Linked DNA regions of Astyanax mexicanus. The protein of the gene in region 1 binds, or shares a complex with, the protein of each later gene. Links are inferred from orthologs where the notes say so. Each region holds a gene or a part of one and is shown in the gene's direction. Other genes may lie near its edges.

Region 1 (16,575 bases):
GCCTATATCTCATGTCATCAGCTAAATGTCCATACAGCATGAATTTAAACTAAATTAATAATATTTAAACTTTAATCTTTTATACCTTACAATATTACTGAAGACACAATACAGAGGGCCGAAGTGAATCCCCACAGATGAATAAAAAAATAAAACAATTTTGCATGTTAATTATTGTTGCATCACTGGGTCCTGTGATATGATAATTTCCAAAAGGGTGTAATTATCACTTTCCACTTGGCTGCAGGCCTGGCTGGTGCATCTGAAACAAGCTCTCCCGCTTATAAACACCACTGAGCAAATGTTCTAAGGAGGCTCTGAGTTTCACACGGCCTGTCTGTAATGTTTCAACAGTCATAACATCCTGCAGCCCCGAGCACCGAACAAACCCTCCAATGTTTGCTGGTAAACACTGTAATTAGCTAGAAAAGGTACTGTATTCTACCACCTCGTGTGTTTAAAAGTGTGTGTTAGAACTGTGCTGGAAACTGACTGCTGAATAATTACAGTACTGTGCAATAGTTTTATAAATTATAAAGTTATGGAAATATATTGGCATTATGAAGCTTTCAGGTTTAACTCAGTAAAAAGCTTAACAGTCCTGGGTGTCAAACCAAAAAACATGTGATCAGTAACCCTGCACTCTAAGGAAAAGGCTTTCTGTGCATATCCCAGCTTGAAAAGCAGAAGTCAGAACTCATGGTTAGCTGTGCATCATCACTCCTGGAGTAGAGAAGGACTCTGGGTATCTAAAGGTCTGGGTATCGAAACCACAACCCTGTAATTACCTACTAATAACTACTAAGTCACCACTGACCCTCAACAGGAATGCTCAGAATGCACAGGGTTAAACCCATAACACCATGATCAATAATTTAGTGCTCTAATCACCAAGCCAGCAGAAACAGTAAGGCACTGTTTGTTTGTTTTTTGGAAAACGTTGATTTTAAAACAATTTTGTAAAACTAGATATATAGATAAAAAAAATCAATATAGTACATATAGTTTTTGAGGTTTGTGTGTGTGTGTGTGTGTGTGTGTGAGAGAGAGAGAGAGAGAGAGAGAGACTGTGTGTGAGACTGTGTGAGAGTGTGTGTGTGTGTCTGTGTGAAAGAGTGTGTGTGTGTGTGTGTGTGTGTGCCTGCGCGCGTGTGTGCGCGTGCAGACAGCAGGGTGGAATGAACACAGCTGTGTTGTTGTTGGGTTAGCGGTAGCACTAGCCTGTTACGTAACCCTTGCGCCAAACGAGCAGCCGGTAACGCCGCCGAGCCAACAACCGGGGACCCGCTACCTCTAAAAACCCGGGATAAAAGGCTTTAACACAGATCAACAGCAGGAAAAAAAAAACATTTATACAGACACCAACATGTCTTATGAGTGGAAAGGGCGCCTTAAATTCAGTATATTCTGCCACAGTTTCAAGAAACATGCAGAGTTTGAGATGCTGAGACAGATTCAGTACAAGGATACAGGGAGATACTCGGGGCATTACGGTAACCGGAGCCCGTGTTCCCGCACTGCGCTGTGATGATCAGCATCACCAGAGCAGCCTGTTATTATTATTATTATTATTATTATTATTATTATTATCATGAATAGTGATGGGAAAACATCTGGACAGACGCTTATAACAGTTTAACATAGGGGACTGTTGGTTTCGGGGGTTATTTCTTGTTTCTTTAATTTATTTATTAAAAAGTAACTATATTATTGCAACCCCAGGCTGATGTGAATGTGAGGCGGGCGCCTGGTGCTCTCACAGCCGCTGTAAACACGACATCAGCCGGGCTCCGTCCCCCCGCTCTCCCCCAGCAACAACACGGGCAAGGAGGGGCGGTCAGACCCGCCGCCCGCTCCCGCCGGAGCTCCCAGTCCGAGGATAAACGAGATGGATAAAGCCGGGACAGGCGGTTACCTGATTGTTAATTTGCGCGCATTTCAGTCTCCGACATTTCCCCGTTTCGCAGTGTAATCCATCGCCGCGTCTCTCGGCCCCTTGGTGCGGCATTAACGTCCCCGGCTGCCTCCTGCCCGGTGGAACAGTCCGCGGACTGCACCACTCACTGCTGCGGCGGCGGGGCTACATGTGGAGCCCGGTGGCGTGCCGGTTTGTGCAACGGTTCGATACGTGCTTCTCACCTGTTCTGCGCATGCGCTGACACACATTTGTCATGTGTTTTTTTTTTTCAGAATGTGTTAAAACAAAAAATATATAGCAAAAACATTATTATTATGTTACATTACTGTGGTTGTGCATTGCGAATCAACACCGTAGTAACCAATTACCAGCACCATAGCAACCATCACATACCTGTCAACTCTCCCGTTTTGGCCGGGAAACTACTGTATTTTAATCCTCTTTCCCACCGTCCTCCCGTATTAGCATTTTCCCGTACATTTCCTGTATTATCTCATAATAATAAAAACATTCCTGTGTCTCTCCAAACTGAAATATTGAAATATAAATACTATAATACTATAACATAAATACTGAAATATAACAGTTACTGACATATGTCACTAACCTCGCGAGAACTGCCACTTGAGGTTAGTGCTGACAGCGGAAACAACATCAAAACAACAAAAAAGATGTAAAAGATGTAAATAAGATATAATAATATAAATTATACACAATATATCATGATACTATGATACTGAACCTTGGTTGGGCTGGTGGGACGGCTCAAAGCAGGCAGCGAAAAATATTTCCTTATTTTTAAATACAAATTTTTAGATACCATAGCAAAATCTTAACAACCACCTAGCAACCACTTAGCAGCCCCATACACAATAGGAAAAATAACTACAGAAGCTTGACGCTGGGGCTGTATCTTATATTATAAGTACAATAGAGTACCGTTTAGTGAAAGTTTTTTCTTTGTGCTCATGTTTATAAGATTATAAACATCAATAAGATAATCATAAACTGAATATGAAAATTGTATATTTAATGTATTGTTTATTAGTGCAGTGATACAGATTGCTGGATGTATTTTTGCTTTTTAAATAATACAAATCAGACATGTTTAACCAAGACTGAAATGTTTAATTACTTCAAAGAAACACATTTCAGTTATTAATGAAAAAAACATATATGGTTTAGTTTTAATGTCTCTTTAAATACACTCTGCGACAGCACGTTTTGACAAGGTAGCACAAATGGACACAACACCAGACACCAAAAACACGACCTGACACCACACACGTGCCATTTTTGCCCGGTAACAACATTAAACATAACAATTTATGTTAATAAACACCTCTAAAAGTGTTAGTTTAGGTTGAGTTACCGTTTGATCGCACATTAACGTATATATTAGAGTTACCCCTATTTGGAGCGTTTTAAAGACGCCCTGCATTACGACTCGCTCTACCGTAATTACTGTAATACTCCAGCCCAGTGTCAAACAGCACGGCGGCCAAGATCATTAGATCATAATACCATTCAAAAGATAATGCCTGATATTCAGCTCTGGATAATGAGAAACCACTTAAAAATGACGAGTTTCTTTGATTTTACCAAATTGATAAGCTCTGGAATATAATCAAGAGGAAGAGGGACGATCACAAGCCATCAAACCAAGATGAACTGCTTGAATTTCAGGAGTGGCATAAAAGCAGTGTGTAAGACTGGTGGAGGAGAAAATTATGCCAACTTTATGAATTTGAATGGATTTATGAATATGAACCTTTCTTTGCATTATTTGAGGTCTGAAAGCTCTACTTCGTTTTTTTGTTTTTGTTATTTTAGCCATTTCTCATTTTCTGCAAATAAATGCTCAAAATGACAGTATTTTATTAGTAATTGGGAGAAATTGTGTCTGTAGCTTATAGAATAAAACAACAACGTTGATTTTACTCAAACATATACGTATAAATAGCAACATCAAAGAATTATAATAATTACTTGCCACTAAAACGCATAACGCAGGCTATATGAGGATAAACACGTGGTAGTGTTATTATTAAAATGAATTTAGAACAGTCTGTGGTTTAAATCTGTTCATTTGTTAATGTATTGCTTTTGGTTATAGCTATGTATAATAAAACATCACACATGTATTATTATATTTTGAATAAATAGTTAGTGCAGTCATTACACATTATAATGTGAGCAGTATAAAAAATCCTATAATAATGTCTATTATAATAATGTGTTCTATAGCGCCCTCTACTGGCCCAGTAAATTACACTGTCTGGGTGTAGGCCAGAGGAAAACACTGCAGACCTGATTTAACTCTGTTCCACTTTGGACTTTTATAGAATACAAACCAAACAAATTTATTTGTGAAAAATAGCCTTTAAAAACCCATTTAAATATACATATGCATGTAAAGTGAATTTATTTTATATTGACTTTTTTATTTTATAAGCCCTTCCTAAACACTAAATAATCATGATTAAAAAGAAATACCCACTATTGTTCAGCACCTCCAGAAACTCCTTCCTTCAAGACGCTGAGAAAACTATTCCAGGTGAAGAATAGAATATAATTCCCTCATAAAGACACAGATTAAAATACCAAATGTGTGCAGATCTGTTTTCAAATATAAATGTGATACTTATTTAAAAGAATCTAAAGTATAACATATATTCTTTTTATATTCGATTCTTTTAGACTTTTTTATTCATAAATAACTCTGCATGTGTTCCTGTACAGCCATAATATTAAAAATCATAAACAGAAAGAAATATATTGTATAAGAAGAGTAACTTTTTGACTCAAACTTTAAACACAGTGTCTCTATTGTCAAGTTCAGAAGGTAAGACACTAATTATTAATGCTAAAATATGGATTTAATGTTTAATATGTCTCTTGCTCTCTGTCTCTCCATCACACACACACACACACACACACACACACACACATATATATATATATATATATATATATATATATATATATATATATATATATATATATATATATATATATATATATATATATGTATGTATATAAACACACAGCCACAGCTGGACCCTAATTTAAAAAAGCATCAAAAGTACCATAAGACATAGTAAAGTAAAACAGATGCTGGTTTATACCATAATTTAAGTATCAGCATTTTACATTTTAATGGAAGACATTTTTAGGTGATAGACAACAATAATATAACTAACTAACTAACTAACTAACTAACTAACTAACTAACTAACTAACTAACTAACTAACTAAATAAATAAATAAATAATCATTTAATTTGGCCAATCTTACATTCATTTACACTTAAAACTTAAACAAAAGAAAAATGTGTGATTAATCGTGATTATTGTTTTTAATCGATTGACACCAGTACTGTAAATGTATTAAAAATGCTTCTCAGTTTCTCAGGCTGTATGTTTGCATGTAACGTGGCACCAGATCAGATTACAACAGTTTGTGATCTGATGATCACACGTGGAGCTTCATCACTCACGTCTTATCACATCAGTGTATTATAGCATTATAATAAAATAAAATGACATTCAGAACTCAGTTAGTGACCTTTGCTCGATAGAGAGGAGGATGCTCTGTTACCAACCATAAAATATAAACACAGCCCAGCTCGACACAGAGCGCTGCTTATCAGATTCAGGGGATATGTTTGTTTTACAGCCTGTTATTAAAGCACAGCTCAGTTAATCATCAGATCACACAGAGAGATTCACACTGAAAATAACACTCTCCTTAACTTCCATTCACTATATTAGATATTTAATAAAAAGTAAAGTAGCTAATGCTAATGATGTGGATCCTCAGATCAGGACAGGCTGTGCCCATCTTCACTGTTATTTAATAATCCGTATTTCCTCTAGATGAGTAAACTCTGCAGACTGCAATAAACCAAAGTCTAAGAGGATAAGATTAGAAACTTATGAAATATTCCCAGCAGAGCTGAGTTTCACTTGTGTTTTTACAGTAAACCCATTTTATGATTTGATATGTTAATTGCATTTATTTTTATTTGATTTATAACTTTGTATTGGTAAATGGTAACTTTTACAGTATAACATAATGTTATATACTATGCCTAATAAAGTGTTATATTCTATGCCTATATATAAAACACAGTCTTCTATACTATGGCTATACATAACACAGTGTGATATATTATGCCTAACACAGTATTAAATACTATGCCTATATATACCAGTGTTATATACTGTGCATCTATACAACACAGTGTTATATACAGTACTTTGCCTAACACAGTGTTGAATACTATGCCTATATATATAAAACACAGTGTTATATATTATGTCTATATATAACAGTGTTATATTCTATGTCTATATATAACACTGTATTATATACTTTGCCAATTTATAACACAGTGTTATATACAGTACTTTGCCTAAAGCAGTGTTATATAGTATGCCTATATATAACACTGTTATATACTTTGCCTAACAAAGTGTTGAATACTACGCCTATATATAAAACACAGTATTATATATTATGTCTATATATAACATAGTGTTATATACTATGCCTCTATATAAAACACAGTGTTATATATTATGTCTATTTATAACACAGTGTTATATACAGTACTTTGCCTACAACTGTGTTATATACTATGCCTATAAAAACATAGTGTCATATACTATGCCTTTATATAACACAGTGTTATATGCTATGCCTATATTTAACACAGTGTTATATACTATGACTAACATAGTGTTATAACTATGCCTGCATATAAGTGTGTTATATACTATGGCTTACATAGTGTTATATACTATGCCTATGTAAAAAACATAGTGTTATACTATGTGTTGTTATATACTATGGCTTACATAGTGTTATATACTATGCCTATGTAAAAAACATAGTGTTATACTATGTGTTGTTATATACTATGGCTTACATAGTGTTATATACTATGCCTATATGCCTATATGTTATATACAGTGCTTTGTCTGACACAGTGTCATATACAACATTAAATAGGCTTATTATAGAACACTGTGTTAAAAACAGGGCTTCACTCTGTGTTATTAAATATTTTTTATATATTTTATTATGTAGTTTACAGTGTTTATGAGCATATAACCCATGTTTTGTAGCTTGTCTAGTGGTTCAATACATATTTTACAACATGTGAGTCTTCAGCTCAGCTAGATTAACACTGAGACTGTTCCTTCTACTGCGATATAGTAGTACTGAAATAGTAGTAAATCTTTTTTTGTGTGTTCAAATTGTCCCAATTGTGTCCAAGTTTAAACCAATATTGCTTTGAGGTTATGCTGAATTTTTTTTTTCTTTATTTCATCTACTTTGAGTGATATAGCAGTTCCACTGGCAACAAGCAGACCTAAAGCATGATGCTCCCACCACCATGCTTAACAGTTTGTACTGTATCTTTAGGGTTGAATGTCTCACCTTCTAGTACTCTGAACATCTTTGTCTCTTTTAATTATAAAACTTTCCTAAAAAGGGGTTTTTCTCTGTCCATGTCCAAATTTCAGTCAGCTTCATGCAAGCATTGGTAGAACAGGGACAGGGTCTACCTTCTTGGATGGAAACCGCTTGGCCTAGAACATCAATATGTTTAAGCCTTGCCATGAGCATGTTGGTCAGTGTTATTCAACCTCACTCATAATATAATAGCACACTCAACTCAATATCTTATATAGATGTGGGCAATCCTGAGCCTTTACCTGCTGTTTTACACTTTTATATCAACTGAAATTCTACTGTCCTATGACTTTTGGCATGCAGTTTATACTCAGCCTTACACAGTGAACTACAGTATTCTATCCTGAAACCTGGGGTCATTAGAGAAATGCCCACCATTGTTGTTGTTTTTTTTTGTTGGCAATGAAACATGGCCCTGGTCCCATTCATGTCTCATTCATTATAAAGCTCTAATGGGGGGACGTGGGGACAAGGGGACAAGGGGACGGGAAGAGAAGCTCATTAGTGTGAGTTCCAGAGAAGGAGGGGTTTATCCAGAGCTCACATCGTGACCCATGTGTTGGGGTTCTGTCAGACCAGGAGCATCACAAACATGAGGAGCTGACAGATAATGGAGAAGATATTGTTTAAGAGGAATCTTCCTCTTATCTCCTTGATGCCAGAAAAGGACCTGCTGATATGACAGGACTCCAGTAAACAGGACAGAGGAGCATCACACTGCTTCTGTGGGACCAGGATCAGGTATAGGACATTATTTGGCGGTTTAGTACTTCTAGGACATGTGTTAGGCCTCATATATAAAACTGAATTAGGCCTAGTATATAACATTTTGTAGGAGTTAGAATTATAGTATCTAACACTGTTGTAGGCCTAGTATATAACACTAAATTAGGATTAGAGTATACAACTTTTGTAGGCCTAGTATATAACATTTACAGTCAGGATTAGAGTATATAACAGTGCGTTAGGCTTAGTAAATAACAAGAAATTAAGATTAGAGTGTATATTAGTGTGTTAGGCCTAGTATATAACACTAAGTTAGGATTAGAGTGCACAACACTCTTTTAGGCCTAGTATATAACATTAGATTAGGAGTACAGCACATAACACTAAATTAGGATTAGAGTGTATAACAGTGTTCTAGGCCTAGTATATAACACTAAATTAGGATTAGAGTGTATAACAGTGTTCTAGGCCTAGTATATAACACTAAATTAGGATTAGAGTGTATAACAGTGTTCTAGGCCTAGTATATAACACTAAATTAGGATTAGAGTAAACAACACTGTTGTAGGGCTAGTATTTAACATTAAGTTAGGATAAGAGTATGTTACACTAAGTTAGGATTCGAGTATATAATAGAGTGATAGGCCTAGTGTATAACACTAAGTTAGGATTAGAGTATATAACACTTTTGTAGGCCAAGTATATAACATCAAGTTAGAATTATAGTATATAACACTTAAATTAGGATTAGAGTGTATAGCACTGTTTAAGGCCTAGTATATAACATGTAAATTAGGATTAGAGTATATAACACTGTTTTAGGCCTGGTATATAACACTTACAGTCAGGATTAGAGTATATAAGACTGTTGTAGAGCTCTGGAATGTAATTAGTAGGAAGATGGATGGTCACAAGCCATGAAAACAGGGCTGAACTACTTGAAGGTCACCCAAAAGCAGTGTGTAAGACTGGTGGAGGAGAACATGATGCCAAGATGCATGAAAACTGTGATTTAAGAACAGGGTTATTCCAACAAATGTTGATTTCTGAACTCTTAAAACTTTATGAATATGAAAGTGTTTTATTTGCATTATTTGAGGTCTGAAAGCATTACATATTTTCCTTATTTTTTAATATTTTTCCTTATTTGTAAATGCTCAACAATGTTAATTTTGCTCAAACACATGCCTATAAACAGTGCAATCAAATGGTTTATGGAGCAGTATGGGTCTAGCTTTAATTTAGGCCTCATATGAACCTGTGTTAGGTCTGGTATATAATCTGATTATATCTGATTGCAGCATTTGACAGGTAAATGACCCCCTGTGTTGGGTAGGTGTGTGTGGAACATGATTTGCTGTGACATTTGTTTAGCTGCTTCGACCACTCTTGACCGGCTGAGCTGCTGTCAGTGTTAAGCTGCTTTGTGTGAAGTGTGTGTGTGTGTGTGTGTGTGTGGAGTGTGTGTGCGGGGTGTGAGGAGCTCAGACGAGCTAACCCGTGCTGCTCCCGTGTTAATGATATACGTTTACAGCAGCGAGACGGCAATCAACAGATCTGTCTCAGGCAAAGGTGCCTCCACAGCCTCAGTCCACCCACACACCCTTCAGAGGAGCATCCAGAACACCAGCCGAGATGGTGAGTTCCTTTAATACTCTTAGAAAACATAAAAAAATATATATATTTCTGCATTTTACAGACATATAAAACATTTGTGCTGACATACATTATATAGTCTAAATTTAAAACCAGTACATTACTAAGTTACATATAAAAAATATGTTTTTTTTTTGCTATAAATAAATAAATAATAAGAGAACATCACAAATGCATCACAAAAATTTTATCTTAGTTTTTTTCTTCTTATGTTTTTGACATAATGTGAATCTGACTGTTGTTTTTTATTATTGTCTCAAAATTTTATGATGAATGGACCAATATTATATAAATTAAAATTACATTTAAACACCTTCTACTATTAACATCCATTATCCAATATAAAAAAAACATATCATCACTGTCCAATTAAAAAAAAACAAATATTTCGTAACTTTATAACTTTTGAATTTACTACAGAATTTAAATACACAAACTGTCCCTCTTCACACTCTTTTATTTATTTTGAATAGATTGACCAATAGAAATTCTTCAAAATGACCTGAAATAAACTTTTTTACATTGACTTAACTGTAACGTTACTTAGTTTTTGAGTTTAGTTTTTGAGATACATGTTTTTTTTAACTACAATAATTTACTATGTAATTCTTACATACTTACACTATAAAAAACACTGTATATTGTCATGTAGACACAAAGAAATTAACGATTTTACTTACTTACAATTAAACAAATATAAATATGACAGTTTTTCTTTTCTTTTATTTAGTTTTCAATTTTCAAGATGAATGGACCAATTGATATGCTCCAAAATTAAATTAAATAAACAAAATAAACAAATACATCTAAATGACATTCAACTGCATTTTTTTTTTTGTTAGTTGCGTTTTAACAGCTACAAGGAATTAATCAAGTTCATTCACAAGTTTTGTATGTGCATATACAGAAAGGGATTTGTATATTATGAGTATTTGTTGGTTTCTTTAATATACGTTTGAAGTGAATATAATAGTTCTGTAAATTGTGGCTGTTGCACAAAAACCCATGCTATGAACCGCATGGACCAATACAAATGCTCCAAAATAGCTTGAAGTATATATATATATATATATATATATATATATATATATATATATATATTTTTTTTTTTTTTTTTTTTAACTGACGAGAAGAGTGTGTATGTAACAGTAAGTGTATCATATTTTATCAAATCTCTGGAAAAAATGAAGAGAGCACTTTAGTTTCTGAATCAGTTTCTCTGATTTTGCTATTTATAGGTTTATGTTTGAGTAAAATAAACATTGTTGTTTTATTCTATAAACTACAGACAACATTTCTCCTAAATTCCAAATAAAAATATTGTCATTTAGATAATTTATTTTATTATTATTTGCAGAAAATGAGAAATGGCTGAAATAACAAAAAAGATGCAGAGCTTTCAGAAAAGAAAAAAAGTTCATATTCATAAAGTTTTAAGAGTTCAGAAATCAATATTTGGTGGAATAACCCTGGTGTTTTTTAATCACAGTTTTTTTTTAATGCATCTTGGCATCATGTTCTCCTCCACCAGTCTTACACACTGCTTTTGGATAACTTTATGCTGCTTTACTCCTGGTGCAAAAATTCAAGCAGTTCAGTTTGGTGGTTTGATGGCTTGTGATCATCCATCTTCCTCTTGATTATATTCCAGAGGTTTATATATATATATATATATATATATATATATATATATATATATATATATATATATATATATATATATATATATATTCTGAAGTTAATTTGCTTCATTTCAGAATAATAACTGAATATGAGAGAAATGTTTTTATAGATGATGAGTTTATAGGATTAATTTTATCATCACATTAACGTGATTCTGTTTCTCTGCAGTCGGACGGTTGGAGAATGAGGAACTCGCTGCTTCTGCTCTTAGGCTTCTTTATCACCTGTAAGTATGTGAGAAGCAGGTTAAAACAGATGAGCTGAGATTTACTGTTTGTTACACAGCAAACGCCCAAAGTCCAGAATATTATCTGAGCAATTTCATGATGATGCAGAGCCTCTATTATCAGTCTTATTTATAACTGCTGAAATGGCATGCGGAAGAAACGTGTTTATTACCTGTATATTACTGATAGAAGAACATCGTACTGCTCCCTAAAAAAACTGAAAACCTTAAATTCAGAATTTCTTTTTGTATTTTAAACTGTTGTGAATGAATTCACCCAATATTCGAATAAAAAAAATATGAAATTATTTAGTAAAGAACAAAGTGTGTTTTATATTATACGTTTTTCATAGTGGCACCTCTTGCTTAGATAAGACAGTTTTGAACATCACTGCTGGATTTTCTCAGTCATTTTTATGAGGTAGAGTCTCCTGGAATTCAGGCTTTCAGTTAACAGCTGTGCTGAACTCATCAAGAGTTAATTACTTGAATTTCTTGTCTCTTAATAAAGTGTTTGAGAGCATCAGTTAAAGTAAAGTAGTGAAGAGGTAGAGTTACAGGTATACAGTGAATAGTGAATATTTCAGTAATGTTCAGTCAATGTTTTTTAAAAGTATAGCCCCAAAGATCGTCAAAAACATTATGATGAAACTGGCTCTCATCAGGTAAAGAAAGACCAAGGCCCCTCCCTATTTTAGTGATCTATACTATAGACGTCAATTGTGCTTCATGCAGTTGGATTTAGGGCGTTTTGGGATGTCTATGGTTTTGTGAGGATAGTAAGTGTGTACAATTCTAAAAATCAAGTAATTGAGACTGAGGGAACTCTCCCTGATTGGCTGAAGATGTGCACATGACAGAAAAGGCACAGAGAAGGGTGGATTATGGGAAATGTAGTCATTATAGTCATTATCAGTTTATAGAAGCAGAAAAGTGGCTAGAGAGCTTTATTTTATATATTTCTTCGTGTGTTCCGGCTGTTCTAACACTCTGTGTTTATTCTTTAGGTTACTGCCAGACTGTGCCGACCATCACCATGAAAGTAGTGCAGCATGTGCGAGAAGATAAACTCCCAGGTAGAGTTTTTACCCATTACACTGGAGTCACGTGATCAATAATCACACAGTCCCTAATAATGACATGCACTTTTATTTTATTTTATTTTATTTTATTTTATTTTATTTTATTATTTATTTATTTTATTTTTATTTCAGTCTCTAATAATGACTTGCATTTTATTTATGATTTAATTTAATTTAATTTAATTTAATTTAATTTAATTTAATTTAATTTCTGCCCCAAATTCAGCTGATCAGATTTAAAAAAAATCAGTAAAAATTAGAAATGAATGATAATTAAGCTGCTTGATCATTTTTCTGATGATACTTACATCTCTTGCACATTGTTCTTTTTTAATCATTGTATTGCATTTTTAAAATCATTTTTATGTTTTTTCTCTTTATGGTAGGGAGCGATATATGCATGTATATTTGTATTTGATTCTTTGTATGTATTCTTGCATTTTTGTATTAATTAAGATATATTTATCTATAGTTGACGGTATTATTCATAATGAATATATTATATATTTATAGTTATTGTTAATAATTATAATTTGTAGTTTATTCATGCTCCATTGCAATTGCAAATCTATCTATCTATCTATCTATCTATCTATCTATCTATCTATCTATCTATCTATCTATCTATCTATCTATCTATCTATCTATCTATCTATCCATACAGTGACATGCCAGAAGTCACGGGACAGGAATATTGACTGTAAAGCTTTCAGTGTAATCTGGTTTACAGTTGTTCGATTTTTGCTTTTTTTAACAGTTTTAATTGAACTTTAGCTCTTTCTGCTCCACAGGTGAATTTGCGTTCCAGATTGAAGCGTTTGATCCGGATGATGACGTGCTGACGTACGGTATAAGAGACCGGTTCGATTACTTCACTGTGAATTCTGCCACCGGCGGAGTTTTCATCAAAAATCAGCTGAACAGAGAGGTACGTCCAGACTAAAGAACCCAGATTCTGAACACTAAACACACTGAGCTGCACTGAGTCTTAATGCCTCAACCTGCCGGACTATCTCCCCCCTCAGGTTCGAGAGTTCTTCACTGTGGAAGTGATCGTTAATGACGGAGTTTACTCTGACGTAAGTTCAACTCATGCAAAACACAATGGATTTTGAGATCATACGCCACTGCAACTAGTTAAAATACCTTAGCAACCACCTGAAATACCTATAGGAAGCATCTGAGCAAATCTTTAGAAACTCGTTAGAAACTATCCTAGTACCACCAAGACACACCTTAGCAACCCTTAGTCAACGCCTGAAATACCCCAGCAACTGCTTTATCAAATCACACAGAAACCCATTAGCAACTACCTGAAGTGTCATGGCAACCACGGATAAAGCACCTTGAGCACACTTTAGCAATCCCTTAGTTAGCAACACCTTAGAGAACAGTTGAAATACACCAGCAACCGCTTTATCAAATCACATAGAAACCCTTTTGATCTATCATAGCAACCACCCTAAAACAAACACATTTTAGCAACCCCTTAGTGAACAACTGAAATATCCTAGTAACCACTTTAGCAAATCACATAGAAACCCTTTAGCAACTACCTGAAGTGTTTGCACACTTTAGCAATCCCTTAGTAAGCAACACATTAGAGAATAGATTAAAATACCCTAGCAACCACTCACAAATCACACAGAAACCCCTTAGAAGTGTCATAGCCACCACCTACGGACAAACACATTCTAGCTACCCCTTAGTTGGCAACACCTAAGCGTACAGCTAAAATACCCAGGCAAACGCTTTAGAAAATCACATAATTATCAACTATCTAAGGTGTCATAGCAGCCACCCTAGCAACCACCGATAAAGCACCTTTGATAAAGAATCAAAGGCAATGTCTTAAAAACTTAGCAAAACTGTGTAAAACTGCTTGCTTTATTTTTCAGGTCACAAAAGACATCACCATTATTGTGGACGATGCAAATGACAATGCGCCAGTGTTCCAGAACCTACCGTACAACATTAAAGTTAAAGAGGTGAGTCCTATTTCTTTTCTTTTTCATTTTAGTTTATCCATTTATTAATATCTCTGTTTATATTTTTGTGTATTTTTTCTCTGGTGATGATGCAAAAAAAAAAAACTAGAGAATTCTGGTCTGAACATATAAACATATAAACATACATAGCAGTATTTAACTATATATAACAGTGCAAGTCCCCCTTTGCATACAACGTAAAATTAAGAAGAAATAAAATAATTCAGAATAAATGTGGACAGTCTAAAATTTGAAGCAGTCAAATAAAAAGATAAAAAAGTAGAATAAAAAAATAGGAGCCTAAAAGAATTAAGTTAAAGCTAAAAATAACACACAATAAATTAACTCTTAAAGAATTTAATGTAACGCTATCCAAGATAAGATATGATCCCACTCCGTTTTACACTATAGCATGAAAATAATCACTATAGAGTTAATTCAACACCATATGGAGTCATATATTAACTTTATGTAACTCTCATCAGTGTTAACAAATTTTACCCCACAGGGTAAAACAACTCTTAAAATTGGTAATTAATTATTTTTTTAAGTTTGATTAAATTTATTTTTGGATATTTTCTTTTTTTTTATCTTTTTTTTTTACACAGACACATTTTAAAAATAGACACTATTTTAACCCTGAATAATAACACCAACTCTGTGGATTGTTCATCACTGAGGGTTATTAGGAAAACTGTTCTTTTAACACTGTTTTTTTTTTTTACTGTGTACTTTGTGATTCTTTGGGGATTCAGAGGTGCTAAAGTGGCTCCCCTGGTAGCGTCGAGTCTGTTTGAGGGTGAGGCTGGGTAATTCTCTTGCTAATCTCTGTTGATTACACTGCAGTCTTGGCCTCGGCGATACCTTGGCCCGACAGGCTTAGAAGGACTCATACTGCTCTCTTACTGCTGGCTGAGGTTGCCAGAAAACTTCACAATCTACCCCTAACAAAACCAGTACAATTGGTGCTGCCTGGCTGATGACCCTGCAGTCCAGGAGCTTCCTGTTCAATTATTGTTTAAAGAGCAAATGGCATAAAAATATGAAAATATTGGTGAAAAAATGTGGGGTAAAATGTTCGGACTTATGTACATGTATATGTTTCTCTTCTGCAGAACACGCCTGTAAACAGTATAATTCTGACCGTCTATGCCACGGATGAGGACCAGAACACGGCTGGAATCGTCAGTTACGCAATCTACGATGTAAGTTGAAAGACCGCAGCAACCACCTTGAACACTTTGGTGACCCATCTGGAAGACCCTAGCCGCCACGTAAAATAACTTAGAAACCCTAAGGCAACCGTAACTACCAATACCCTATAAAACACCTTAGCAACCCTACAGAGTAGGAACACCTTATCTTCCACCTAGAAACACCTTAGCAGCCATCACCTTAGGGCCATCAAAACAACACCTTTGTGATCAGCAAAAACACCTAAAGCTACCACTTGAGAGAAAAGGCCAACGTAGTCCCAACGTCTAACATTGGTTGGCACCCAACTTCAGACCAACATAGTCCCAAGGTCTAACATTGGTTGGCACCCAAAGTCAGGCCAACGTAGTTCCAACATTTAACATTGGTTGGCACTCAAAGTCAGGCCAACGTAGTCCCAACGTCTAACATTGGTTGGCACCCAACGTCAGGCCAATGTAGTCCCAATGTCTAACATTGGTTGTCACCCAGCCCAAAGTCAGGCCAACATAGTCCCAACGTCTAAAATTGGTTGGCACCCAATGTCAGGCCAACGTAGTCCCAAAGTCTAACATTGATTGGCACCCAACATCAGGCCAATGTAGTCCCAACGTCTAA
Region 2 (16,687 bases), about 30 Mb from region 1:
GGGAGTCTATACAAATCACACAATGCCACAAAACCTCAGCACTTTATTACAGGATTGTAACTCCTCTATCAGTGCATGATACAGGGGTTACACTTTAATATATCACATTATACTGTGATAATGTAAACAAGAGATGTATTGCAAAGGTTTATATCCAATTTTATGAAAAGACACCATCGTATTTTAATATTTTGTGAAATCAAAACAACACCACTATCTATAGGCGGGTTTTAAACACAACACTTAATGAACCAAAGTTTGCCATAATTAAAAATCAATACTGTGTTTTTGAGAATTAAGATTTTAGTATTGCAAAACTAAATATTACAATATTTCAATATATCAACATTTTCTTACATGACTAGAACTGATATTTCCAACGTCTGTACTCGAGGTGTAAGATTATAATTATAATATTTAGGTCAATGTATTGTATTATTGAGCTATGATACAGTAATACAGAGTACTTACATCCCCTCTTCCTTTGCTATCTCAGAGAGAATGACAGGAGTGGATTTGGACTTCCGGTTCTCGTCCACTGAATCACAGCAGCAAACAGCGAATAAACAAAACTCAATTAATACTCAATAATATTAAGTTCATTTAGATATTCTAGGTCCAGAAAATACAATAATAAACACAGGGTTCACTGAAAAGCCCAGTTTATTCAACTTCACCCTTTTACCTAATTGTAGAAGATTGGGCAACACATGTTTGGTGTCCAAAGTCTGCTTATATTGTCTTCTACTAAAGTTAGGAGGCTAACATAATAAAATGATAAAGTTCTAACTTCTACTCAGACGGGATTAGTTTTATACAGGGAGGTGAGGTAATATAGCTATTAACAGAGGATCTCTGATTCAGTCCCGCTACTGTGCACTCTTATATCAATCAGTAAAATGCTTTTATCTATTATAGCGCAAGCCACGAAAATAAGCCCATGAAGTTTCAATAATAGAAATGTTTACTTTTTATCCAATCAAAAAATTTGAATTTTTATGACATAGTATAACACCGATATCTAGTGGATGGGGTTTAAACAGAACACTAAATGAACCACTGTCTGACACCAATCTTTACAAGGAAACTAACAAATAATATTTAAGTTTTCATAAACCGATACAGCATTGCAAAACTAAATATTATGTACTGAAGTTTTGCAGACGTATCTTTTTAAGCCCGTTTACATGCACTCCATAATCTGATTACTGCAGAACATCAGAGTAATCAGTAATCAACACATTTACATGAATTTGTGTATTCAGATAATGGGACAACTCAGACTTTACATAAGTATTTTTTCTTTTTGCAGTTTTTGCTTTGCAACCAGCCAATAAACTCAAAGAATAAGACGTAACGTAAACATCAGCTGGGTAGCCTGAATAAATTCGGCTGGCTATACTGCTAACCAGAGCTGATTAGCGCTGCTGACCAGGGCTAGCTATGTTGTTAACTGTGGCTAGCGCTAACCCTGGAATACTGGAGTTCTAAGCTTACTGTAAATAAACGGAAGCCCTTTATTCACCCAAATTAAGAATTTTCAGAAATCTGTGTAGATTAACATCCAGTGCTCGTTTGACTTTTTTTTTTTTGAATTACAGTTTTGTTTACTTTACTTTTACTCCCATTAGAAGGGAAACATGGGGACACTCTTGCTCACTTCAATGTAGGCTTCTTACTAGTGTCCTTTAATGTGCCTTATAATCCAGGGCACCTTATGTATAAAAATAGACCAGAAAATAGACGTTCATTAATAATGCACCTTATAGTCTAAAAAATACGGTAATCAGATCACTGCAGTAATAAGTAGCCACCTTAGTATCCACAAATAAATAAAGGCTCTATGGAGGACCGCCATACTCGTTTTGAGGGACTGCCGAAGAAGCAGTAACAACTGTAATTTTGAACAGATTTTTGAGTGCATGTAAACGCACTCAGTGATGAGTAACTAGAGTTGCCACTCCTGCCTCTATAATTTATAAAGGGATTTCTTATCCCACTTGAGTCAGTCATTATAGATAAAATCCACCTGCCAAGTCAATAGGTTACATACCCTCACAGAAACTCTGTGTCAATTCAATTATGTAAATGTATTTTTCAGTGAACAATTCCTTTAAACAACAGTAAAGATGAACTCACAATCCTCAGGAGCAAAGTCCCAGTTTTGTTAAACCCGCTAATCAGTAAACAGTGCATCAACTCACCCTGAAGCCTGATCCTGGCTGTGTCCAGCGGAAAGAACACAGTCATTGCGGTCACGCTGCCCTGTGAACAGCAGAATAGTTGATCACTAAGTGGTCAATAAGGAAAATGAATTCTAGGATCTCAGATTAAGTTTTATTTATTTAAGAAGTACATGATCCTTGACTCATTAAGAATTATTTAATAAAAATAAAGGTGAAGTTTGCAACAACAAGGTTATACCTTAGTACTCTATGTATGGTGTCCTAAAATGAATGAATGTATGAATATTACAGACTCTGTGAGCATTCATGTAAAAGTAAGAAACATAAATCTACACAAACAAACATATAGAGCAGTGAAGATGATCTATGTAATCTCATACTCTATGTCCAAATGTCTGAAGACACATCACACAATCTTTTTAACTGCCATTAATATAATGTATGTAATTTGTTTGCTATGCTATTATTTTAACAAAACATAAAAAAAAACATAAATTATATTTATGGCAGTTAAAATCTTTGTTCTACAATTATATAATAGGGAGTTTCATGAGAAAAGGGAACCTTTATACCCCTGTAACCCCTGCATTACATTCTATCAGCAGGGCATTATACACTCATTAGGCAATATATTTGGTATGCCTGTACATCTAATCATTCATGCTAATCTTTAATTAGCCAGTCATGTGGCAACAGTACAATGCATAAAACCTGGACATACACTGAATATTTGGCAACCGAAAATATTAGTCCAAAAATGGCAAAAACACTAATTGACTCATGTTTCAGTGTTTTATCTAACAAAGAATATTTTATGAAGTACACTCTACTTTTAGACTTTTTAATTGCTTTAGACTATTTAATAAACTGCTGGTTTGAAGCCTGATCATGTAGTTTGCTATCAGCTGCCGGAGCCCCGAGAGAGCACAATTGGCCTCGCTCTCTCTGGGTGGGTAGATGGCACTCGGAACCAAGTCACTGCGCTTTCCTCCGAGAGTGCTGTGATGCTACTTAGTAATGCTGCATTATCAGTAGCAGTTGGAAAAGAGGCGGGGGCTGACTTCACATGTATCAGAGGAGGCATGTGCTAGTCTTCACCCTCCTTGTATTGTGGCATCACTAGTGATGGGGGATATACAGCTGAGTAACAGCTAAAGAGCAGCTGAATGGGTGGGAAAATTAGCCTAAATAAATTAGGAGAAAATGGGCTACAACAGCAAACGATCACACTGGGTTCCTGCTCTGTCAGTCAAGAACAGGAAGCTGAGGCTGCAGTGCACACAAGCTCACCAAAACTGGACAGTCATTGCAGGTCAACAAGCTTAGTTGTGCTGGTCATGCTGTTCAATCAGCTTGGTCATGCTGGTCAATAAGCTTAGTTGTAGAGGTCATGCTGTTTGACAAGTATGATCAAGCTTGGGTATAATGATTGAGTATGCCTGTAGAAAAGCTAGACCATCAAACGGAAATTGAAAAACATAGATACACTATACTGGTTTAGAGCTGAGCTGGTCAACAAGCATGATTGGTTATACTAGTTGTTTACCTTGGTAAGGTTCGTGATCACGCTTGTAGGTCATCTGAACCATAAAACCCAAATAAAAAAAGACATAGATACAACCCTATACTGGTTAAGAGCTAAGCTGATCAACCAGCTTAACCAGCTTGATCAGCTTGAGCTGGGCAGGTTTTTTTTTTTGTCAGCAATGTGTGCACTGTAAAGTAGATTCATTTGCTTAAAAAACAAGGTTTGAGGATTCTTTAAAACATATATTGTATAAGTTGAAGAGTGGCGTGGTGCTAGTGATAACCTGATCAAACTTACAGTTAAACTTCAATTACTTGATAGTACTACAGTGAGGAAAATAAGTATAACACCCTGTGACTTCTTCGTCTTGCAAGTTCTCCCACATAGAAATCATGGAGGAGTCTGAAATATTTATCTTAGGTGCATGTCCACTGGTCCACTGTGAGAGACATAATAATTTTTTTTTTTTTAATCTGGAAATCACAATGTATGATTTTTTTAATCATTTATTTGTAGATACTCACTGTATCTACACTGCCTGGCCAAAAAAAACTTTTAAGAGTTCAGAAATCTTAGCATGCATCTCGGCATGTTCTCCTCCACCAGTCTTGCACACTGCTTTTGGATAACTTTATGCCTTCACTCCTGGTGCAAAAATTCAAGCATTTCAGCTTGATTTGATGGCTTGTTATCATCCATCTTCCTCTTTATTATATTCCAGAGGTTTTTAATTAGGTCAAATTAAAGAAACGTATTCTTTTTAAGTGCTAACGTTATCTTATTTTATTCCAGAGCTGTGTATAACTTATTAGTTAGGATAAAGCTGTGAGGTCTTACCATGGCTCCGGCCACAGCGTGCACCAGAGTTTCATAAGACAGAAGCGCCTCCGCCGCTCCGCCGCTCCCCGACATTCCCGCTCAGCGTCTCTCAGCAGCGCTCAGGAACCGGGAAAATACAGGCTATAAAGAGCTCAGACTGGTTCAACCAAATCCCAGCAGATTCAGATAAATACAGCCTGGATTTCACAGGATTTCCACCACTGACAACACAAACACAACCCCGGCTCTGCAGATTCACCGATTCACTGTGTGTGACTACACTGCGGAGTATCTGATACAGAGGAGATCACCCACTTCATAATGTGTTCAGGATTCGTTTGACCACTAGAGGGCGCTACCGAGAGAGTCCAAAACAAATGGGTTCCTATGGAGCAATTAAACAAAATCAGACTTTATTAATATTTAGTAACTTTCATACCGACCAAATATTATCATTTTGTCAAAACAGGACAATATTATCACATGTTTCAGTGCTAAAAGAAAAAACATGTATTTTAAAGCTTTTAATCTCTAGTTATAAACGTTTTAAATTCATAGCTCTAAGTTTTTTTATTATTATTATTAATTTCCACAAAACATCATAATACAAACAAGGACATCCAAGATCATTAAAACATACAACCGCAGTGATCCAGCGGAGTAAGCGCTGCCACTGTGATCGGGAGGTCGCTGGTTCGAATCCTGTTTATGTAGCTTGCCATCAGCTACCAGAGCCCTGAGACAGCACAATTGGCCTTGCTCTCTCTGGGTGGGTAGATGGCACTCTCCCTTCATCACTCCAAATGGTGATGTGGATCAGCACAAGGCATCTGTGAGCTGGTGTATCGAGTCGCTGCACTTTCCTCGGAGCACGCTGAGATGCTACTCAGCAATGCTGCATCAGCAGCAGTTCAAAAAGAAGCAGTTCACATGTATCGGAGGAAGCATGTGCTAGTCTTCACTCTCCTGGTGTTGGGGCATCACTAGTGATAGGGGAGGGGAGGGGAGTCCTAATGAGTGGGTTGGGTAATTGGCCTTGTAAATTGGGGAGAAAATAGGATTTTTTTTTAATAAATTCATATAAAAAAAAAACATACAACCGAAAAGGTAAAAGCTAAACAAAACATTTATGCTGACAACACATCTCACCCATAAACCAGCAAATTTAACTCCTTTGTGTGCTTTATAGTGGACACAAGAGCTCTGACTATTAACTTCATCATAAGCTGACCAAGCTTTTTATAAACTGGCCTTATAAACTGCCTAAACCCAGTTTACTGAAGAATAACATAAATATATAAGTATATTTTTTAACAAAATGCATCATTATACTTTCTAAAATGAAATTGTAAAAGAAGTAGAAATACTTAGTTACTGTACTTAAGTACTAAAATGCTGTATATGGAGTATTTTGTTTCTCATACTTCCTCTTTTACTTTTTAAAATTTCATTACTCATTACAATTATAAAAATGTTAGGAATCGTTACAAACCAACATTTCCACTAAAGCCAGAGCTGTAGATGCTCTGCACTGTCATCGCATTTGTTGAAGTGAATAACTACTATTTATTACTATAGATTTTAGCCTTTTAGCTCCCTTTACCCTCATTTATTTTGGACTCACGCGTTCTGCCTTTACGGGTTCGCAGCAATTCTCTGATATAATATAAATTATGGTAGGGAGTGAGAAGGCTCTTAATAAAGCAGCTGTGGCAGAGTATCTGGAGTATTTCCGCGTGTTTAAGAGGAATGCCAATCTGAATGAGCCGAGATCTCCCCCTGCTGGATCGGTGTTTTATACAGCTCTGGAAAAAATTAAGAGACCACTTCAGTTTCTCTGATTTTACTATTTATAGGTATATGTTTGAGTAAAATGAACATTGTTGTTTTATTCTATAAACTATGGACAACATTTCTCCCAAATTCTAAATAAAAATATTGTCATTTAGAGAATTCATTTGCAGAAAATGAGAAATGGCTGAAATAACAAAAAACATGCAGAGCTTTCAGACCTCAAATAATGCAAAAAAAAAAAGTTCATATTCATAAAGACAGTTTTCATGCATCTTGGCATGTTCTCCTCCACCAGTCTTAAACATTGCTTTTGGATAGCTTTATGCCACTCCTGGTGCATAAAAAATCAAGCAGTTCAGCTTGATTTGATGGCTTGTGATCATCCATCTTTCTCGTGACAGTCCTCTATTTCTATTTCTATGTACATCATTATTTGTAAGTCGCTTTGGATGAAAGCGTCCACTAAATGTAATGTAATGTAATTTAATGTAAGAAGCACATGCTGCACAGTGCATTGATGGTGTAGGATTGATACTGGGCTTTTACCTCCTTTATAGTACTCATCATCATATTGCATATTTGCACTCCTTCAGCTGGACTATTTCAGTTGAACTCCCTTGAACTGTTTGTATATATTGTTTCTAAATCGAACCTTGCAGTTACCTTGCACATGAATGTATTATTTATTTGTTTTCCTTATATCATATTCTTAGGAGAGCACACTGAACCTTGTTGTATTTGTGCAATGACAATAAAAGTATTCGTATTCGTGTAATAATGAAACTGAAATATCGGTTAACATAGTATAAGAAAATGATTCGGAACAGAGGACAAAATAAGCAACGATTATCTGTATGACCTGTTTCCTCTCAGCAATCGAGCATCACAATCTCTTCACAAACCCAAACCCACAGCAGATGCTGGACTTTGCTTTAGTTTTATGGCTCTGACTGGGTGGTAATGACGCACCGACTGGAAAATTCAGCCACACTAATTTCTGAGCTGAGAGAGAACAGGAATTGAAGGATCTAACCATGTTTTTCTGAAGCTGTCTGCTCAATTATAGTTCTCTATTTTGTTCAGAGCGAGCTTTGTTTGTCTAACCATGTCTAGGTATCATAAATCAGCCATCGATGGCTATTTGGATCTTTTAAAGGAGGCCACCAAAAAAGATCTGAACACTCGGGACGAAGATGGCATGACACCAACCCTGTGGGCGGCTTACCATGGACGACTGGAGGCTCTTCAGCTTATCTGCAGCAGAGGGTAAGCTTTATTTTATACACTTTTATAAAAAAAAGACATTTATAATGTTTTTGGAATAATGGCAACGATAAAAAAAAAAAAAAGCCGGCACTTTTAAGATGTAAAAAACATACTTTTCTTACCAATATACAAATATTCTTACTGATAAACTACTGAGAAGTATTTAATTTCGGCGAAGTGTTTGTTTTAAGCGACGTAATTTTTCTTTGCGTCCCAGGTTACACTACTCTGCCGTTCATATCTGTGCAATGTAAAGCGCAGCGATTTACAGATATAAATAGAAAATAGTCGACGCGAATCTGTGGAAAGTTAATTTGTGTGAACTGTAATATTTTTTTACAAACGCAAAAAATAAGTAAATTATATTTCCCCAGCTATTTTGTTTTATTAATTTTTTTTATGTAAACTAAAATTGTCAATAACGTAACAATTTTTGTTACATATGGAAGCCCATTCCCGCCACCTAAAAAAAAAAAAAAATCCAGCAAAATGTTTTTTTATTATTATTAAGTAAACTGCTATCTCAATATTTTGAGATACTAAGTCAATATTTTGAGATACTATCTCAATATTTTGAGATACTATCTCAATATTTTGAGATACTAAGTCAATATTTTGAGATACTAAGTCAATATTTTGAGATACTAAGTCAATATTTTGAGATACTATCTCAATATTTTGAGATACTAAGTCAATATTTTGAGATACTATCTCAATATTTTGAGATACTAAGTCAATATTTTGAGATACTAAGTCAATATTTTGAGATACTATCTCAATATTTTGAGATACTAAGTCAATATTTTGATATACTATCTCAATATTTTGAGATACTAAGTCAATATTTTGAGATACTATCTCAATATTTTGAGATACTAAGTCAATATTTTGAGATACTAAGTCAATATTTTGAGATACTATCTCAATATTTTGAGATACTAAGTCAATATTTTGAGATACTATCTCAATATTTTGAGATACTAAGTCAATATTTTGAGATACTAAGTCAATATTTTGAGATACTATCTCAATATTTTGAGATACTAAGTCAATATTTTGAGATACTAAGTCAATATTTTGAGATACTAAGTCAATATTTTGAGATACTAAGTCAATATTTTGAGATACTAGTAGGCTGTACAGAGACAGAAGCAGGTGAGACAAAGATGCAAAATGGATACCATCATTGAGGACTACTTCAGACGTGGATTCACAAATCATGAAATATTGGAACTTTTAGAGGAATCACACAATATCAAAATAAGCCTCCGGATCTTGGACGAGGCTGAAGTTAGCTTCTTATTCGCCAGTGTCTTATTCAGATTTCCTTTCCACCTTAAATGCTGGCTGAACATTCATGCGGCCGCCTGTAGATGGCGCATTTTAACAGTAAAAAACAGCATGTAAGCAAAGTGCTGTGCAAACGCTCTGAATAAAGGGGAGAACACAATGCGAGGGACAGAGTTTAACTCTGAGTGAAATATAATGTAAATAAAATTAAATATGAATTAAAACGTTATTGCTCTCACTTTTGGCCTAATTCCCAGGTCATTATCTACAGGTGGCCGCATGTATATTCAGCCAGCATTTAAGGTATCTCAAAATATTGACTTAGTATCTCAAAATATTGACTTAGTATCTCAAAATATTGAGATAGTATCTCAAAATATTGACTTAGTATCTCAAAATATTGACTTAGTATCTCAAAATATTGAGATAGTATCTCAAAATATTGACTTAGTATCTCAAAATATTGACTTAGTATCTCAAAATATTGAGATAGTATCTCAAAATATTGACTTAGTATCTCAAAATATTGAGATAGTATCTCAAAATATTGAGATAGCAATTTACTTAATAATAATAAAAAAAAATTGCTGGAGTATTTTTATTTTTTAGGTGGCGGGAATGGGCTTCCATAGTTACAATGTGGGGTGCTCTAAAACAAAAAATGTGAACAGTGGAAACTGAGCATTTAATGAGAAATTAACCGACTCCTACCTGTTTATTCTTCTCACACATATGCAGTTTTATGTGTGTTCCATTTAAAGCACAATTTTTTTTTCCAACAGCATATTGTTTTATTTGGAATTTATATCATTTGGAAATGAGGATTTCACTGGATCCTATTTTATTTAAATTAATTTAACATTTGAAATACTTTTTATTTTTAATGTCTTTATCTTTATATAAATTTGCAAACTTGCAACTTGAATCACATCTTGTTGAGTACAGCCAAACCACTGCTGTTCTTTTTTACCACTTTACATATCAGGCTACTTTACAGAGAGCAAAGGTAGCCTACATGTAATTACTCCTTATCCCTTTTAAAAGAATGTAAACTCAGTGCGCTTGCGGTCTATAAACCTTACAGACAGTAATATGTTGTGGGTGTCTTGGTCAATTACCAAATAAACATTATTTTACTACCAAAAATGCAGCAAGTGTCAGTGATGGCCATTGTTCTCTTTTCAGTCTTGGTATTCCCATTAGGGATGCCAAGCGTTTAATGAGGCAAGTGAATTATGTAAATGTAAAACAATAGCGCTTTTCATCCTCCTGTAGCTTGTCCAATATTAAGACTTCCACTAAGCAAGGAAAATATGTTACACATTCTTTGATGCATTCATATTTTGATATCATACAGCATGTATATATTAAATTTATTTATTTCAGAACCATTCCTAATACCTAATTTAAACTCAGAAAAAAGCATTTGTGGTATTAGGACAATCAACTGTTGTTGGGAACTAAGAGAAGATATTTCGCACCAAGATAAGATGTTGCAGATATTGTAGACAGAATCTACACGCAGACCTTTGCCCTTAATGGTTACAGATTAACCCGCGATACTCAGTGTTATTATATTATGTTAGCTACAATAAAGTAGATAGTAAATATGTTTAAAAGCTACAATAAAACGGAGCAGACGGCAGAGCAATGGAATAAATGTTGCTGTTTTAACAAAACATTGTACCTCCAAAATAGTTCATTTAAAAATGTTTAACGTTAAAATAGTTCACAAAAAAGAACTCATTTGACAAAGACATGTTTTGTGCCGAAGTCTTTTTTGTTACTTTTTGGACTGTAGGTTACAAGTAATGGTGGTATTTTAATGTCGCGTTTTGAATAACAGTAATAATACAGGATGCCTTCTTTTTGGAAACTTAACTTTTAACTAAATATTTGTTCACCTCCCTATATAAAATGAAAGTATGATTTATCCATTCAGTTTAAATATCTTATATTTAATCCTTTATGTAATGTCAGGATATGCATACATGTTTTCCAATAATTCACCTGGAATTTCCGGAATGCTTTGCCAGTTTATTCCACAAGGAAAAATATGTCAAACTAAGTTCCATCTGGGCAAAAGCTCTGTAAAGTTTTGTAGTGGTTCATTAACTCTCTTCAAAAGTTTTAAAAGTTGAACTTGAAGAACGGAAAAGTTGTTTTATTGCGTTCGATCCTCCTTGGAATGTTAAAAGAAAAATATCAGATCAAGATAATAATATTAATATTAATTTTGGAATCTTAAACATCTTAAATGAGAAGGTTATTGTTAGATCTTTTCAGGTAAATAAAATTTACCATGGTAGCCTATTTAAGACTGTAGCCCTTAATGATCATCTTTTTTGTTGTTGTTTCAGTGGAGATCCCAACCTGAGTGACATCTGGGGGAACACACCGCTACACCACGCGGCCGCCAATGGACATATGCACGTCCTGAGCTTCTTGGTCAACTTCGGAGCCAATCTCTTCGCTCTGGACAATGACTTTCACACTCCTATGGACGTTGCCGCATCTCGGGACCAGATGAATTGCGTTCGTTTTCTGGACAGCGCCGCCTCCAACCAGACCAGCCAGAATGCCAAACGGGTGGCTCAGCTGAAGAAGCAGGCTGTGAAAGATGCAGAAGTCAGGGTGAAACAGTGCGAGAAGGTCAAGAAGAGGCACCAGAGTAAGATGGACAAGATGTACCGCGGCGGTGGTTCTGTGTCTGGCGTGTCCGAAGCGAGCGCCGCCACCATGACCAGCGGCAACGAGCAGTTCTCCAAGCTTATTGCTGCAGATAAAACTGGGTCCATCTCCTCGACGATCAAAGGAACTTTGCAGCGCAAATTTGGGAAGAAGGACAAGGGAACTGTGAGCAAACAAGGAGACAGCAACGTCATATTCGTAAAGCAGGAGAATGGGAACGCGGAGAAGCCGGATTTTGTGGACGTCTTTAACGAAAATGAAGAAAATGAAGAGGATGAGGACGGAATGGGAGGTTTTAACGATGATGAAGAAGATGAAGAAGGTGCCGGTCAAGCAAAAGAGTCCATTTTCAAAAGGCCTGGCCTTGGGAACATGGTTTTCCGAAGGAATTTCTCCATGGAAATGGGCATGGAACCAGATGAATTTCCAAGCGGCGACACTGAGGACCTCGGCTTCCTCATCCGCAAGGAGGTGTTTGATGCAGAAGAAGATGGACTGGAGGATTATTCAAAGGAGGATTCTCAGCTGCCCTGGAACGAAGAAGAGATCGGATTGGACGAGGATGAAGAGGAGACTTCGCCCCTGGACGCGTTCCTCAGCTCCATAAACCTGCTGGACTTTGCGCCCGTGTTCGTCCGTGAGAAGTTAGACCTGGAAGCACTAATGCTCTGCTCAGACGACGACCTCAAAAGCATCCGAATCCAGTTAGGACCTCGCAAAAAAGTTCTGGATGCAGCAGCTAGAAGGAAAGCAGTAATGGAGCAGCCTGGGGTCATGAAGGACACCTTTCTGTAACGCCAGGATATACAAATAAACGAACATTTACACAATAATTAATCCGAAACCCTCTGAATTATTTAATTATCGGTTCTTCATAGCATATGGGTGTCAAACTTGGTACCATCTGGACCAAAGCTCCACAGAATGTAGTATTAACTTCTCCTAATTTAACAGATCTCAATCAGCTCATCATCTACTTTATTTTCATAAAGACATAAAAAAAAAAAAACCTGCAAGCTCCCTGAAGCTATACTCAGAACTTCATAAAAAGTCAAAAGCTATTTCTAACATCAACATTGTAACGTTTTTTTGCAACATTGTCAAAAAATAAAGAGAGAGCCACAGCTTTCCTAGCAGTCTTTATGGAATGAACCTGGTTTGAGACCCTTGCTGTACACTGTGTGCTATATTGATTTAATGTCCTGTAATGTTTTTGATTTTGACAAATAAACACGATATAAAGTTTTGGGACAGCTTCTTCATTGATTATTCTAAAATTAAGGGTATTAACAAAGAATTTGCCCTGGTTTTGAAAGAATATCTGTCCAGGGAAGGCATTGTACAAAACTACGCACGAAATACATAAAATAAACAGACCAGTAGAAATGCTCCAACAATCATTCCTTTTTAAAGATACGATTTCTTGTTTAAAATATTAACAACATTTAAGACTTAAGATCTAATTATTTACAATTATCTTTACAGCTACTCATTTTTGGGTTTAATGTCTATAAATAATAGCTGAAATAAGTCTTGAGAGTCTTGTACAGCATCACACAGATGGTTTGAAAATGCATAATAATGCAGTGCCTAAAGCATGCAGCAGAATGCCCAAAAGCGCACAAAATACATAAAAGTGCAAAGAATGCGTAAACGGTAACAATATTACGCACTGAATGGGTACAAGCGCACTGAATGCATAAAAGCGCACATAATGCGTAATTACGCACCGATTGCGTAAAAGCGCACAGAATGCGCACTGTAAAAAATGTCCATAGAATTTACGGTGAAAAACTGTCAAACCATGACAGTAAAAGACTGTAAACGCTAAAAAGGCTAAATACTGTTTCGGTAACAACAAAATACCGTAAATTCATATATCATCCAATACACTAATTTTTACACATTTTCTCTGTAAAAAATACATTATTTCAACGTAAAATTCTCTTGCACTGTGTTTATAACAGAAATTTTCCGTATTTTTGGATAACTGGTAAAACCGTAATTTCTACATTATTTTTTTGTGAATAATACATTTTTTCTTTGTTAAATATACAAGCCATTATTACATTTCCGTATTATTTAGATAACAGCCAAAACCGTAATTTCTACATTATTTTTTTGTGAATAATACATTTTTTCTTTGTTAAATATACAAGCCATTATTACATTTCCGTATTATTTAGATAACAGCCAAAACCGTAATTTCTACATTATTTTTTTGTGAATAATACATTTTTTCTTTGTTAAATATACAAGCCATTATTACATTTCCGTATTATTTAGATAACAGCCAAAACCGTAATTTCTACATTCATTTTTTGTGATTAATATTTTTTTTTACTGTTAAATACACAAGCCATTAATAAATGTCCATATTATTTGGATAGCGGCAAAAACTGTAATTTCTACATTTATTTGTCATGAATAATATTCTTTTCACCATTGAATACTGTAAAAAATGTCCGTGAAAATTACAGTGAAAAACTGTGAAATGGCAACAGAAATAAACCGTAAAGCAAGAACTAGCTTATTGTTGTAGAATAAACATTGAATTACCATAAATTAAAAAACTGACATGGCAATGGTAATAGATTGTAATATTAAAAACAGCATATTACTGTATAATCACTGAGAAAAAAATGTAAAATTTACGGTAAAATACTGGCAGCTGTGGTTGCCAGAATTTCACCGTAAAATAAACGGTTGCCAAGAATTGTACTGTAATATCTTCTACATGGCAACCGTTTATTTTACAGTAAAATTCTGGCAACCACAGCTGCCAGTATTTCACCGTAAAATAAACAGTTGCAAATGTATAAGATATTACAGTTTAATTCTTGTCAACAGTAAATTTCACATTCATAAACCGTTTTGTTTACAGTATATTCTTGTGAAAAAAAGTATATTACATTGAAGGAGAAGGATATTATTAGGGCATTGTATATAATGAGTTTGTTTGCTCCTGGATTTTATTGATATCCGCAGGGTCTGAATGGGATGTAACGCAGCTGTCTATGGGGCGTGGTTATGTTAATTAGATGTTTAGTTTAGAGAAGTCACCATGATGTAGTTTCATAGCGGTTTTATCCACCTGGCTGGGTTTTACACTATGAGTATATAAGTGATTTTACTCTCCGAGCACATCTCTGTGCTGTAAGTGAGCAGTAGTCCAGTTAATGAAATGATTTTGATAAAGATCATGCTGTTTAAAACTGTATGTTGTTAACAACACACATTTACAGCGAGAATCAAAATTATTGCACAACCACATACCAAGTGTTTTAACAAAAATTGACCATAAAATAGGACAATAAATGCTGTGGAATGGATAGTTTTTCACCGTAAATTTGACAAGAATTTTTTTTACAGTAGGCTTTTTACAATGTAATATACTTTTTTTTTACAAGAATATACTGTAAACAAAACGGTTTATGAATGTGAAATTCACTGTTGAAAAGAATTAAACTGTAATATCTTATACATTTACAACTGTTTATTTTACGGTGAAATACTGGCAGCTGTGGTTGCCAGAATTTTACCGTAAAATAAACGGTTGCCATGTAAAAGATATTACAGTATAATTCTTGGCAACTGTTTATTTTACGGTAAAATTCTGGCAACCACAGCTGCCAGTATTTTACCGTAAATTTTACGGTGTTTTTTTTTACAGTGCGTAATTACGCACGGAATGCGCAAAAGCGTGCAGAATGCCTTAGAACGCATAAATACACATACAATGCATACTGTATATTATACACCCTATACAAAGAAAACATTTAAGGTGTAAATTATTTACAACATATTAATATATTTCAACTCTGGAAAGATCAAGACTTAAGACTATTCTTATTAATAAGAATAATAGAATGTAAGAAGAAAAAATCGTGAATTCAGTTTACTTAAAAACAGTGTCTGACCTCTCCATGAATGTTGGGATAATTAATAAGTCATCATGCACTCTTTGAACCTCTTCAAGTGTCTCTTTGGGCATCCCCCAAGTGTCCTTTTGGGCATCTTTAAATGTCCTTTTGGACATATCCAGGTGTTCTTTCGGACATCTCTAAGTGATCTTTGGGTATGTACAAGTGCCTATTGGGCATCTCCAAGTGGTCTGTTGGGCATCTCCAAGTGTCCTTTTGGGCATCTACAAGAGTCCTTTTGATCCTCTCCAAGTGACCTTTTAAACATCTCTAAGTGATCTTTGGACATCTCCAAGTGACCTTTGGGCATCTCCAAGTGTCCTTTTGGACATCTCCAAGTGTCCTTTTGAACATCTCCAAGTGTCTCTTTAGGAATCTCCAAGTGTTCTTTTGGGCATCTCAAAGTGTCTCTTTGGGCATCTCCAAGTGTCCTTTTGGACATCTCCAAGTGTCCTTTTGGGCATCTCCAAGTGTCTTTTGAACATTTCCAACTCTCCTTTTGGGCATCTCCAAATGTTTTTTTGGGCATCTCCAAGTGTCCCTTTGGGCATCTCCAAGTGTCCTTTTGGGCATCTCCAATTGTCCTTTTAAATATTTCCAAGTTACCTGTTGGGCATCTCTAAGTGTCCTCTTGGGCATCTCCAAATGTCCTTTTAGGAATCTCCAAGTGATCTTTTGGCATCTCCAAGTGTCCTGTTAGGCACATCTAAGTGTCATTTTGGGCATCTCCAGTTGTTATTTTGGACATCTCTAAGTGATCTTTGGGCATCTCCAATTGTCCTTTTGGGCATCTCTAAGTGTCCTTTTGAATCTTTCCAAGTGACCTTTTGGGCATCTCCAAGTGTACTTTTAAACATCTCCAAGTGATCTTTGGACATCTCCAAGTGTCCCTTCGGGCATTCTCCAAGCATCCATTTGGGCATCTCCAAGTGTCCGTTTCGTTATCCTCAATTGTCCTTTTGGGCATCTCTAAGTGTCCTTTTGAGCATCTCTAAGTGTCCTATTGGGTATTTCCAAATGTCTCTTTGGGCATCTCTAAGTGTCCTTTTGAGCATCTCTAAGTGTCCTATTGGGTATTTCCAAATGTCTCTTTGGCCATCTCCAAGTTTCCCTTTGGGCATCTCCAATTGTCCCTTTGGGCATCCCTAAGTGTCCTTTTGGGCATCTCCAAGTGACCTTTTGGGCATCTC

Evidence for each region.
Region 2: cdhr2 (region 1) and anks4b share a complex: the UniProt entries of both Homo sapiens proteins name them as parts of the IMAC/intermicrovillar adhesion complex. The link is inferred for Astyanax mexicanus from reciprocal best matches to the Homo sapiens genes CDHR2 and ANKS4B.

Annotation. Positions count from the first base shown.
Region 1 is NC_064426.1:2,353,325-2,369,899, reverse strand, and holds the start of cdhr2 (cadherin-related family member 2), read left to right. Parts: upstream 1-9,585; 5' UTR 9,586-9,763; coding exon 9,764-9,766; intron 9,767-11,635; coding exon 11,636-11,693; intron 11,694-12,700; coding exon 12,701-12,769; intron 12,770-13,566; coding exon 13,567-13,703; intron 13,704-13,800; coding exon 13,801-13,854; intron 13,855-14,673; coding exon 14,674-14,763; intron 14,764-15,878; coding exon 15,879-15,968; intron 15,969-16,575. UniProt on the Homo sapiens protein: Intermicrovillar adhesion molecule that forms, via its extracellular domain, calcium-dependent heterophilic complexes with CDHR5 on adjacent microvilli. Thereby, controls the packing of microvilli at the apical membrane of epithelial cells.
Region 2 is NC_064426.1:32,612,973-32,629,659, forward strand, and holds anks4b (ankyrin repeat and SAM domain-containing protein 4B), read left to right. Parts: upstream 1-7,295; 5' UTR 7,296-7,432; coding exon 7,433-7,593; intron 7,594-11,243; coding exon 11,244-12,369; 3' UTR 12,370-12,820; downstream 12,821-16,687. Other genes in the region: peroxisomal membrane protein PMP34, read right to left, coding at 472-538, 2,205-2,265, 4,552-4,626. UniProt on the Homo sapiens protein: As part of the intermicrovillar adhesion complex/IMAC plays a role in epithelial brush border differentiation, controlling microvilli organization and length. Plays a role in assembly of the complex.